Arabidopsis thaliana: one gene and its partners. The protein of the gene in region 2 interacts with the protein of the main gene of each other region in a pairwise test. Each region holds a gene or a part of one and is shown on either strand. Other genes may lie near its edges.

Region 1 (3,171 bases), 5.3 Mb from region 2:
TTAGGCCTAACAGAAAACTGAACGTATGGGACAATTAAAACATTTCATACTAATATAATATTGACTGCAACAGTTGTTATTGATACTGATTATAGTATATCTTTAGGTAATCAAAGCTTTTCAACGGACTCATGCTCACTATAATATGGAATAAACCTGTACTTTTGAGGCGGCCATAGTACGAATTGGTACGTGCACGTCAGCTCGTGTGTATATATTATGGGTTATATGTGTCTACATAATGGACTTTCATCAAATAATTTTGTTTTTAATAAACCATAGGAGTTTCAGGTTTTTGGTCTATAATCTTACCTATTTTTCGGAGTTAGTCTTATTCCAATTTAACGAATACCACAACGAAAACCGAAGACGAAGCACAAGGTAACCACCCTTTTTTCTAAGTTTTTATAAGATAACATTTTTTTTTCTTGGATTGAGTTTTTTCCTTGGTTTATATTTATTTCTCGTATAAACCATATGATACTATCTGACTGACAAGGAACCAAAACATTACATATATATTGAAAATTTGAATTAATCATATTGGTATTTATGACATCATCATTGTTAAGAGATTACAAATTGAACCCAAGAAAAACAGTAAGGGTCGAAAATTTATTATACTTTACTGAATATAATCGAAAAACCTTGGTTGATGATATGACATTATTAAAAAAAAAATCAAATGGTTAAGCAATTAAGCGAACGTATATCAATTATTAGAATTCCATATGGACTGAAATTGCTGCATTTCAAAAAACTCATCCCTATCGTGCTGACCAAAAAATTGTCCGTATAATTCTTCGTAGTCAGCAACTTCCAAATCCTGCATCCACCCCATCCTCGGCGAGTCTAATGGAGACTCATTAATCGCTTGAATCTGATCCGGAGACAATCCTACTCGAGAAAGTCCTTGACCAGACTCGAGAGCTGGTTCACTCAACCTACCTGGTTTAAACATAAGTGCTGCATCTTGTGCAGCCGCTTGAATGTGCTCCGAACTAGAGCTTTCCGGCCGAGGAAAACTGTCGACGAGTTCCGGAAAGTTGAGATTGGTCCCACGTCCTCGGAGGTGAAGAGCCGCAGCATCGTAGGCCGCTGCAGCCATCTCGGCCGTCTCGTAGCTTCCAAGCCAAATCCTTGTTTTCTTACCGGGTTCTCGGATCTCCGATACCCATTTGCCCCATTTCCTCCGACGAATGCCTCTGTAGGACAACTGGTTAACGTTGAAGCGGTAATCTCGTTGGCCAACGTAAGTGTTTTCCATAATTAATACAAGGTTATTTTAGTAGCACTATATTGTGTGTGTGTGTGTTTGTGAGTGTATATAGAACTGTGCGAATTAGTTTAGAAGTTTTGAGTTATAGAGTCAGTGGTTAAGTGAAATTGTATATATAGAGAAATAAAGAAGACAATAAATGAGGGAATAGAATTTGTGGATGGCTTGTTTGGTTTCAGGTGAAGTGAGCTTCCTACGTAGTTACTTGTGAAGTGGAAATATGCTGTCATGCATGCATGGGTCTCTATTACTTACATGGATATTGTACATTAGCAAAGCTGTCTTTAAGCGTGTACAAATAGTGTGTTGTGTGTATTTGAAAGAAAACGCTGATTGAATATTATTTTTTTGATTGAAGACAAGTTTGATATTTATATGATTTGGGTTCTAAATTTTTTTAGAAATATTTTTTTACACATCAAATATGTTTTCAGTAAAAACTTTGTACATGCCTTCCAAGAAAATTGACATGGCCTTGATAAATATATTTCATATTTGGTATATTCTGGGCCTTAGTTAGATTATAGATATTTAACTTGATCAAAAAGTTCAAAATATTTAAACTTTTCAACTAGGAAATAGATTTCATAGTTCATACTGAGATAAATTAGTGTTTCATATAAAAGATCAATTATTTTAAGTCAAAGTAGTATATTGTGTTTTGTTGTTGTAAGACCAAATGAAAAGAAAAGCAATTAGTCCTTTATATCATGTGTTGGTTAGAACTTTAGGTTCTCGTACAAAAGTCCATATATGCCATATCTCAAGAGTCTTGACAGCAAATATGATAGTAACATTATGTAACTGCCCATAGAGTCATAGACAATTAAGTTGACCAAAATAATGAATTGTTCATAACGAAGAATTGGGGAAAGAAACCCATCTAAATTAACCAAAATTTGATTTTATGAAATTCTAAAACCCGACCAGCAGAAGATCGATGCTCTGTCTCCAAATAATTTCTTGATGTGTAGTAAAACCTCATGAGCCAAATTCCAACCCTAAATAGTTAAATGGCTGCATAATGGTCACCACCGCCACTAAGGCACTAACAACCACACCGTATCGAATTGTGGAAATCCGTACGGTCCATCCGGTGGTCAAAAAAATACTTTCAGTCTTAATCTCACCGCCCATTATATATTGTTGCTTATCTACAAGATTTGGATCCTACATAAGAACTCAACAAGTATAACAAAGTTTTGCTTTCCAGTCTATTTTTTGAACTTATACGTTCCTTGGTTCAAGAACTCATGTGTGTAATTTAATATTATTTGCAAAGAAACATAATTAAGAATTGAATAGTTTAACGTATATAAACATGAATTAAGAATTGAATAGTATAACGTATATAAACATGAATTATGATATTATTTCATTCTTTTGGTCAACTTTCCTTGTCGTTGTGGGTAGTGAAAGTTATAAAAAAAACTTCTATGCAAAATAAATTAAAATAGTAAAAACTAATTGAAACCCCAGGAATTAAAATTTAATGGAAAAATATGTGCATAGAGCAAATTAACAATCATCAATAATAATGGAAAGAGAAATGTAGATGAATTTTTCGGCAAGGAGCCAAGTCTTCAAAGCGGAAGAGGATGGAAGAACAAAGATGTGATGAGATCTTTGAGCTTGCCATTGGGATTGGTGAAATTATCACCCTCCTCGTAATACAGATTGACCAATCGTACAATGTTGAAGCACCGGACCAGAATCGGACGTGACACACTTTTTATCGTCAAGAACTCTTCCATCATTATCTTGTAATTATCTCTAATCATCTTCTTAATTTCTCGAACCGCCAATTCCTTGGTAACATTATGTTGCTTAACGTAACAGTTCACCCCATTAACCACTTCTCCTCTCCTCATCTCCTCCTCGAAGCCGGCTAT
Region 2 (3,029 bases):
TCTTGGAAAGAACTTTTAAAATTGGGAAGACTGTGAAAAAGGGGATCGAAACCCTAAATTTTTATTAATTTGGGCATTTTGTTATAACCTATAGAAATATGTATGTTTCTGAGAACATATAAATAACTGCGAGCTAAGTCGGTAAAGGAAAGTTGTTATATCTCACAGGTTGCGGGTTCAATTCCTCAACTTGTAAAAAAAAAAAGAAATTGAAACGACGTTGTTTTATAAGTTAACAGAATTTATAACCGAAGACTTAATTCTGTTAATTTCCCGTAATTTTGGCTCGTTTAAGTCTTAAATAATATCTTATGACAAAAAAAAGACTTAATTCTGTTATTTTTTTCGTCAGTTGACGTAACGTTTTACCCGAAATGGCAAAATCAACGAAAGTTATCTATTTAATTCTAAAGTCAACAATAACTTTGGTATTTAAGTGACATTTCGAAAATTCATGTTTTTTTGTTCTAAATTTGAAAGTTCACATTTTTTTGACATATTTTCCAAAATTATCACATATATTGTATATTATTTATATATAAAAAACATTTCATTACGAAAATCCGATTGAAAAGATAACAAGATGGAGGACACAACTTCCTTCAAACTAAAGCAACCAAAATTTATTCCTTAAACTTTTGGAAAGAAAAATAAACGGTAATTGATTTATATGATATAAATAATTATATATTTATATTTATTTTGACGATTGTTCTAAATAGTTCCAAGAAATCCTGGGCCGAAAGCCCGAAACTCATACATTCCTTTGCTCTGTCCAGACGAATACTCGGTCCTCATCATCTTATTCTTTGTATTCTTTGAGAGTATCGATGGAGAAGACAAATCCTCCATCTCTACATGTTTCCTCTTTAAACCTGCTTGATAGGCCTCGAGTTTCGCCTTGAAAGCAACTAAGTCCTCCAATTTCAGATCTACATTCTCTTTCATATTGGACTTTTCAAGGTTTCTTTGCTGTTTCTTCCTCAAATCCTAAAATTGACAAAAAAAATATTATATAATATAAAATAAATAATGATTATTTAATTCTGTGTATAATAGCAAACCCATCTTTGTAATCTATATGTTGAGAACGAAGAAGAAGGAAAACTAACGGATGAGATTATATTAATGATGGGAAACATACCTCCTGAAACTCTTTGATTTGTTCCAATTCTTTCATGAGACTCCTGAGTTTGGACGAAGCACTAGGATTTTGAATACGCTCAACCACATCGTTGAAGCATGGATAACCGTATGTGTATGGTATATTAGTGGGGGAGATGACCAAGACAGCAATCTCTACATTACACAACTTCGCGAGTTCATCAGCCTTCTTAAAAATGCCATTTCGGCGTCTTGAAAACGTCGCTTTCCTTTCGATGCTATCTTCAATAAATTTTATCTCTATTTTTCTACGACCCATTTCTTAGTTTTAGAGAGATGTTTTTGTTGTTGGTGTTGTTTTTGTTACTACTCTACTCCATTTTATAGATGGATTGGTTCAAGTAGGTTTAACGCATTAATTATAATTTTTTATCTTTGTTATCCTTTTTTTATTAAAATATTTGAATTTACCTTTTAAATATATTTATCTTTTAACTACTACCATAAATATCTTTATAACTCTGACTACACAAATTTATCATAATAGTCAAGAGTTGGTATTCCAAACAAATTCTTAAGATATATTTTCTGAAGAAAGTATAAATTTTGTAATGCTTATCTTTCATTAGAAAATATTTAGGAAAAATACAAATTTTGTAATAATTATAAATTAGATTTAGTATCTCTACATATCATTCCATATATACAAATTTTATTTTAAAATGCAAACTCACACGCGTCAAACATGCGCACTAGCCACGACATATCAATAAAATGAAAATAAAAAACTGATGAAACTTGGTAACAACTTTTTCTAAATTAAAAGGAGTTTTTTATTTTATTATTTCATGTTTTGTTTTCACTCACACGGATCCGACAATAATCACTTCTCCTAAATTCACCCATCAAAAGACATAGGTGTCAAAATCAATTCTTTTAAACATTTCTACATGCATCACCATATTTCATGAAACTAAAGTGTTACAATTCATCCCTCTAGCAGATCGTATCGTCCTGGTTGCGCATCAAGACCGTCACAATCGACTTTGTTAACCCTCTTAACTCCACATTCGTCTGGGTTTGGCTCTGATACCGTTTGTAACTCCCCGACCTCCATCTTTCTTAGTGACCCCACGTCCTCTCTCGGCTCACGGGCTCACTCTTACCCGATAGCCGATCCATTACGTTTACGAGGCTTTAAAGGCTTGTTTACCGATCCTACATATCACCACATTATATTTTCTCGTGTTTTATCCTCGCTCATATACAGTTGCGACAATCACTTCTTGGAAGGTCATTCCCTGTAATTTTTCTAACTTAAGCACGCTTAATTATGAAGTTCTTTTCAGATGTTTGACTGAAAATAAGTGCAATTTGATGATATAGGTGGTCAAATCAAATTTTTAAAACTTCTCTGCATGCACCACCATATTTTGTGAAACCAGGGTGTTACAAAAGGTCAAATAAATTGATGTGGATATCGAATTAGAAGATTCCTCATGTGATGCACAAGATGTGTTGGATGGACCCACATCCAACTAGAAGATTCCTCACCCGATACACCAGAGGTGTTGGATGGATCTGTGATTCGACCATGCAATCGAAAACCCTAAAACAAGTTCAGTGCAAATCTAGAGACCCTATTTAACTCCATGGAATTTTAGCTGGAGCACCAACTTTCCGTACTGAGCTGTTTTTCAGCCGAAGACCCATGAAAAATATCTACATTAATCAACTCGACAACGAAACGTTAGAGGATATATTCAAAAATACTTTACCGGCAACATCAGTTAGCAATCTACGACAAATGACATGGCGATCCGAGACCAATGGACTAAGGCTTCAAAAATCATCGAAAATTCATGCATTGTAAAGGGAATAGTCTAACCGAAATCATGCATTATCAAACTCGTTTTGGAGATGAA
Region 3 (3,217 bases), on a different chromosome or scaffold from region 2:
AGGAGTTAATGCATAAAAGTTAATGGCTACGTTATCTTTTACACAAAGTAATGTTTATGCGTGTATTTATAATGGGGTCTTGTTGGTTTGTTTTAATTTATTAATCTTTGGAGGACTTTAATAATCAAATTTTCACGACGTTTATGTAAGAAATGAAGCCCTAGCTCTGAAGAGATCAACCATTTGATTAATTTTAACCCGATTTTACGCAATAAATTAAGAAACGAATGCAATAAATTCTTAATACTAAGATCAACAATTAGTTTATAACTTTATATTTTACCCGATTTTACGCTTTATATATCGTCATGAAATCTCTCATGTTTGACTAAGGGGTATTTTTTATACCATGGACTTTTTGCTCAAAACCTCAGTTACAAATAGAAATAAAAACTCTTACAATTGATGGAAAACAATCTATAGGGAGTTTATTTATTTATTGACTGCAATCAAATATACTATCAAATAAAGAAAATTGGATTATGAAATGAATCTAAAGGGATACTTCAGCAACAGATCCCACATAACATAATCCAATAAGAACGTTCAGAGATATACACAACAAATAAGAATGTTAACTTTCATGATCGCAAAACAAATCTTAATACTTTACCATTCAAGTAATATATTTAATGAGGCATAAACAATTTATATTTCTTTGTGATTGCCAATCACAATGTCGTTTTATATGATTGGTACATTTCATCTAACAAAGAAACGAGTCTATTTGTGAGTTGAAAATTCGTGATTTGTGGTTCACTATTGGATCGTCGTTATCAATCTGACATTAATTGTACCCTATTATATATATTGTTGTGTCTATAATAAGGCAAGCTGGTTACTACATTTGTCGACTTCCACATTCCCAATTATTGTGTATTTTCTTGACTAGCTAATACATATATAACAAGAATTAATCTTCCACAATATGAATTGTGATGCGTTTACAGTGGTAATTTTGCAATAAACAGAGTGAGTATATATATACCCTTCGAACATTTAGTTTTAATTATTTGAAGAGTGTTTTTATGTTAGTTATTTTTCACAACATTCTGATTGGAGAAACAATTTATAGATTTTTGAAAACCCTTAATTAACAACTATAACGTAAAAAAAAATTTGAAAAAAAAAGAAAAAAAAAAAGATAGAAGAAACCTAGAAATAAAATGAGTTGAAATCTTTCTTCAATTTTTTGAAAACCCTTAATTAACAATTAAGAGTTTTTTTCTTAGAGACAGATTTTCCTTTTTCCTCCAAGTTTTTGTTGCACAATTAATAATTACACAATCAAATCTATAGTATTTTTTTAATTAGATCTTAATTTTGTACAGCCTAAAATAAAGTACCATCGAGAAACTAATTAAAAGTTTCCTTTTTTTTTGGTCTCTACCATCGAGACATTAATTAAGGAAATCTACATTAGATATTGGAAATCGAATCGAATCGTAGGAGCGTAGATCTTCACGCCTCGCGATTAACAACGACGCGTCGCGTTTGCTTGTTCCCGTAGGCACCAAGGCATCTATATAAACATATTGAGTTCACAATGTTTCACCCTCAATTCGACAATACTTCTTCTTCGTGTGTTCTCTCTCTCGGAAAAAACCCTAGTTTCTTGCCGAATCAAGGCAAAGTCACGATGAAGCAAGCTTCTTCTTCTTCTTCGTCACGTAATTCAACAAGTTTAACAAATAGACTTAAAACCATCTTCAAGAAAGCTGAAGAGCTTTCGATTCTCTGTGCTATTGAGGTTTGCGTCATCTATTACGGACCAGACGGTGAACTGAGAACATGGCCTAAGGAGAGAGAGACAGTGAAAGACATGGCTTTGAGGTATAAAGAGGCCAGAAAACGCAAGAAGAGCCGCAATCTTCATGAGTTCCTCGAGAAGGAGAAGGACAAGGACAAGGGGAAGACGAATTTGAAGAAGAATTGGTATCCAAACTTTGATCATTACTCTCCTCAACAACTCTCTCAATTGATTCAGTCCTTAGAACGGACTCTTTCTACTCTGCAAGAAAGGCTTCGTATTGTTGAGGCGCAGAAACTACAGAACACAAACTTGGTGCATCAGAGTTTAACACCATCGTATCTGAACCAGACCCAACACTTGAATCCTAGCAAGTTCTCGCTGTTTATGTACAACCATGGAGATGCTACTCTCTCACAACTCCCACTGTCTGCTCCACACTCCAATCAACTCATCAATTACCAGAATCACTTGATGCAGCATGGTTTTGGTCAGAACATGTGTTCGGACAACATCACCAACAACAACTTTGAACATCCTGGCGTGTCAAACACACAAGACTACTCACCGTTACTTTCGGTACAAGCATCTGCAGTGAATAACTACGGGTTGAATAATCACTTGATGCAGCAACAGGATCAGCTTCATGGTTTTGATCAGAACATGTGTATGGTGAGTGAAATCATCAACAACAACAACGGTCTACAACATCCTAATCTCTCAAACACGGTTCCACATGAATTCTCTTCTGATTTCAACCAGAACCCTTATGGTAATGCGGTCGGTAACATTAGCTTCTCTCAAGACATGTTTTCAAGCTATGATGCGAGCAGTCTGCTACAGACATCTTCTCTGCCACCTCTCCACAACATTCCTAGCAGTTATTGTTTTCCTGGCAACTCAAGACTTCTCTGATAACAAAATCTGTCCAAAAGAATTTGTTTTTTTGAAGCTTCATTAAGAGTCAGTCAATAGTTAAGTAGCAAGCGGATCGGAGAGAGATTGAAGCTGTTTCTGCTTCCGATTTCTTCTGTTACTGTTTTTTTTAATATTTTATAGTGTCATTATAACTGCAAAACAAATCCATTTGTTTTTTTTTTTTGTTAAGAAAACAAATCCATTTGTGGAGATTTTGTTTTTACTTTTAAGTTGATACTTTTTTCAGTTAGTATTGACATATATATATGAACTTCCATAAAAAATCTTTCACAAAAACTTGCATGAAACAAATTATAATCTTAAAACCTTAATTCTTGCAACTTAGTATCCTTCTTGTCTGAATCAACTAATATATACAAGGAGATGGAGAGTGGATCTGAGTTCGTGAAGCCTCTAGACTTTTTGCAGAAGAAGAATCTCTGTGTAGTTTCTGAGTAATGGTATGAGGAAGAAGATAAAGATTGAGCTGATTGAATATCTGCAATTAAACTAGCCCTTGTGTTTTATCAAGAAAGTCGATATCACATT
Region 4 (3,494 bases), on a different chromosome or scaffold from region 2:
AGCTGCTAAAGTATTTTTTTAGCTTAAGTAATTTCTGATTGTGTTTTACTTTACCCGTCTTAAAACTTAAAAGCTTGCCTAGGGTTTTTTTATTCATCAAACATTAATCGTATAATCAAATTCTCGGCAATAAGTATAACAAACCAAAAAAAATCTCAGAATAACAAAAGAGGAAGTATAGGAAAAGTGTCACTAACATGGGAGACATTACTAGTCTTAATTCTCAGCAATAAATATAACAAACAAAAGAATCTCAGGATAACAAAAAAAAGAAGTAGTATAAGAAAAGAGTCACTAGCATGGGAGACATTATTAGTCTTTTAGTCACATTACACTAATAAATAAAAGTAGACATAATCGAAAACTTGGAGATCGATATACTGTCTCAAACTGATAATTGCACTAACCAAAAGTTATAAATATATATGCTTCTTAGTTATATAACTAGGAGATATTAAAAACCAAAAATTATGAAGCTATAAGAGAGATTGTGATAGATCTTAGAGAGACCTAGTATTGTTTCCGTTTTGATCCAAATTGAAAACCCGGTCCTGATGTTGGCTGTTGTACGTTGGAAATTGAACATACTGATGCGAAAGACCATTAGAGTTAATGCTGTTGTTGTTACTGTAGTCATGCATGTTCATGCTCTGCAACCCGTTAGTTCCAGCTCCTTGCATCCCAAGTAACCCTGCACAGTCTTGAACATTGAAGTTGTTGCGGCTGGACATGTTAGGGTTCTCAAACTCATTGTTTCCGTCTTCGTGTACCCCAAGTAAGCTAGAGTAACTTTCCGCTCTGGAATTCTGGTCAAACTGTTTTGAGAAATCATTAACGCTGTTGATGTTGTTATAGGTTAACATGTTCATGTTCTGAAGCCCATTGATCCCAGTTCCTTGTACCCCGAGAGACCCCGAGTAATTTCCCGCATCCGAATTCGGGTAAATCATCAGTTCAGGCGGAATCGGAGCTAGAGATTGCGTTTGGTTTGAAGCCAATGCTGAGACTGGGATTTGTGAGAAAGCACCGTTTCCATGGTTCCACAGATACATGGAAACCTGGTTTGAGTGTTGTTGAAGTTGATTCATCGTATTAGCCATCATCAGTTCTTGATTAGCCATGTTCGTGTACTGTACCCTCCTCTGCCCCTGAGCTTCAACAACAGCGCAAGTCCTATGTTGGATCCTGGTTAGGTTTCGTTCCAAGGACTGAACCAGTCCCATGAGTTGCTCCACAGAGTAATTGTCAAACCTAGGGTCCCAAACTGGATACTTGACTTTGGGTACACGTCTCACTTTAATCTTCTTCTTCTCCTCCTTCTCGGGATCATCCTTGTTCATCTTCTCGAGGAACTCGTGAAGATCAACGCTTCCTTTGCGACGCTTCGTCTCGCTTAATTCACCGTACCTTCGAGCTATGGCTTTGACCTTCTCTCTCTCTTCAGGCCATGTCTTAAGCTCTCCGTTTGATCCGTAACAGATGACGCAGACATCGATGTCACAGAGAATTGAAAGCTCTTTAGCTTTCTTAAAGACAGTCTGTTGTCTTTTGATCAAACTTGTGGCCCTCGAAGAAGAAAAAGCAGAATTAGGTTTCTTGAAAAAGGTTTTGTTCTTCTTCGATGTTGAAAACGAAAGAGAAGAGGACGAAGAAGAAGCCATGGTTGTGTATATTCTCTGTGAATTGAATGAAGAGGTGGTGATCATTGTTTGCGAATATATAAAACCCTTAGTTCGAGAATTTCTATTTTTGGTCTCGCTCGGTAATTAATGACGAATCAATAATGAAAGCGGTGAAGATTTCATTGCCTTTTTTAATATACTTTTTTCTCATAGAATCAATTTATATGTTTAACGAAGGTGTAGTTTTACTAATAAGGAAAACTTTGGTTTTTGGTTGAATATTATGGAAATCTTTAGTAGAGATTCTTTTCACATGTACATACATACACAAATACATACACTGATATACACACACATAGATTTATATACTATACGTAATGTATACATACTACACTGCGATTCGACTAAAAATTTGGATTTTTCGAAAGTTTAATTATACTACATATGTTTAGTTACATCAATTAATTTGTGTTGTTTGGCTATATGTAAGTCTATAATCTATCGTTTCTGTATAAACTATTTGAATGTTACTAACATTTTTGAGTTTGTGTTTGTATACAAAAATGGCATATAAATACGACATATGTTTTATTTTGTGGTTAAACTGCAAAAAAATGTTTTATTCAATTTGAACAAACTATAGGAAAAAGATATAGTTACACAACTGATATTCACCTAATCTCGCAGCAACAATTCAAACCAAAAAACTCATGAAATCCATTAATAAGTATGTATAATTATTGCGTCACAAGTTATGGCCGGGAAGTGATGATCTCCGGTCTACGGTAATGGCTGGTGGGGTGGGAACAAAAGACTCGTAGTCAGTCCAATTTGATTCGCCCCAATGCCGCAGCATACTTTTCCAATTACATAATTTGTCGATGCAAATTTTGAATCTCGGGTCCTTTACTCTTATTTTCCAATGACCGTCGGCATAATTTGCGGCCTCTGCTTGCCGGCGATCATATTCCAGCTGTGCCTTTTGCTTGGATCGCAAGTAACAGAATTGGTGAAGTTCCTGCAAAATATCATATATGGTAATTACTAACCGTCACAATTTTAGAATAATTTGGGAAAACGTCTAACTATTTTTATATTTCTGCCAACCAATGTTTTTTTAAACTAATCATAAAGAAAGAAAATTTGAAATGATTTTTTTATAAGGTGTATAAAACATAGACATTAAAACTTGATGCCTACTGCGTAGGGGGCTAATTCTGCATTTACTAACCCACCAAGATTTTCGTATATTCAAATTTCATATGGTTATTCTAAACTTGGGTAGTAAGTAATTTTTAGTTTATTTATTTTTTCAAGTTTTGGAAATTTTTGAGAAAGAAATAATGCTATGCAGTTAGTCTCTCAACGCATGACTAAACGCCTAATAATATTTTGAATATTGATCACAATATGAGATTGAAAATATTATGTGATTTTTGAGTTCTATTAAGGTTTTTAGGAGAGAGTGAATCACCTGTGGCATGGCGTCGTGGACCATCCACCATTTTCGATGAGCGATATCGGTAGCAAACTCAACGAATATGTCGGAGTTGAAGTTACAGTCGTAGTCACGGTAACATAACCACGGCTTCATCCCAAGGTAATGAAGAACATAAAGAACAGGAGGCTCTGCTCCAAAAAGCTCTGTTTTCTTGCGTTTCGCGTCATCTTCATCGCCAATCCAAAAATGCTTCAAGAAATTCATATGTTTTGGAATCCGGTGCCACCATGTGAATACCTCGTTTAAGTAACCTTGATCTCCACCGTTATAAGACTCAATCTCGTTTATATGTTCCATCAGAAGCTGAAACGTACAGTTGCAAGGCTCGATCACCATAACTCCTGAATTAAACAGAGTTCCATTGTTTCCTG

The links.
Region 1: the proteins of AGL102 (region 2) and AT1G33760 interact in a two-hybrid assay, tested with the Arabidopsis thaliana proteins (one large-scale study listed by BioGRID).
Region 3: the proteins of AGL102 (region 2) and AGL78 interact in a two-hybrid assay, tested with the Arabidopsis thaliana proteins (one large-scale study listed by BioGRID).
Region 4: the proteins of AGL102 (region 2) and AGL103 interact in a two-hybrid assay, tested with the Arabidopsis thaliana proteins (one large-scale study listed by BioGRID).

Annotation. Positions count from the first base shown.
Region 1 is NC_003070.9:12,236,040-12,239,210, reverse strand, and holds AT1G33760 (Integrase-type DNA-binding superfamily protein), read right to left. Parts: upstream 1,665-3,171; 5' UTR 1,268-1,664; coding exon 713-1,267; 3' UTR 501-712; downstream 1-500. Other genes in the region: AT1G33750 (Terpenoid cyclases/Protein prenyltransferases superfamily protein), read right to left, coding at 2,863-3,171.
Region 2 is NC_003070.9:17,570,845-17,573,873, reverse strand, and holds AGL102 (AGAMOUS-like 102), read right to left. Parts: upstream 1,461-3,029; 5' UTR 1,424-1,460; coding exon 1,145-1,423; intron 991-1,144; coding exon 715-990; 3' UTR 501-714; downstream 1-500.
Region 3 is NC_003076.8:26,108,687-26,111,903, forward strand, and holds AGL78 (AGAMOUS-like 78), read left to right. Parts: upstream 1-1,639; coding exon 1,640-2,665; 3' UTR 2,666-2,717; downstream 2,718-3,217.
Region 4 is NC_003074.8:6,416,844-6,420,337, forward strand, and holds AGL103 (AGAMOUS-like 103), read right to left. Parts: upstream 1,662-3,494; coding exon 501-1,661; downstream 1-500. Other genes in the region: PGSIP1 (plant glycogenin-like starch initiation protein 1), read right to left, coding at 2,368-2,640, 3,097-3,494. UniProt on the Arabidopsis thaliana protein: Probable transcription factor that may function in the maintenance of the proper function of the central cell in pollen tube attraction.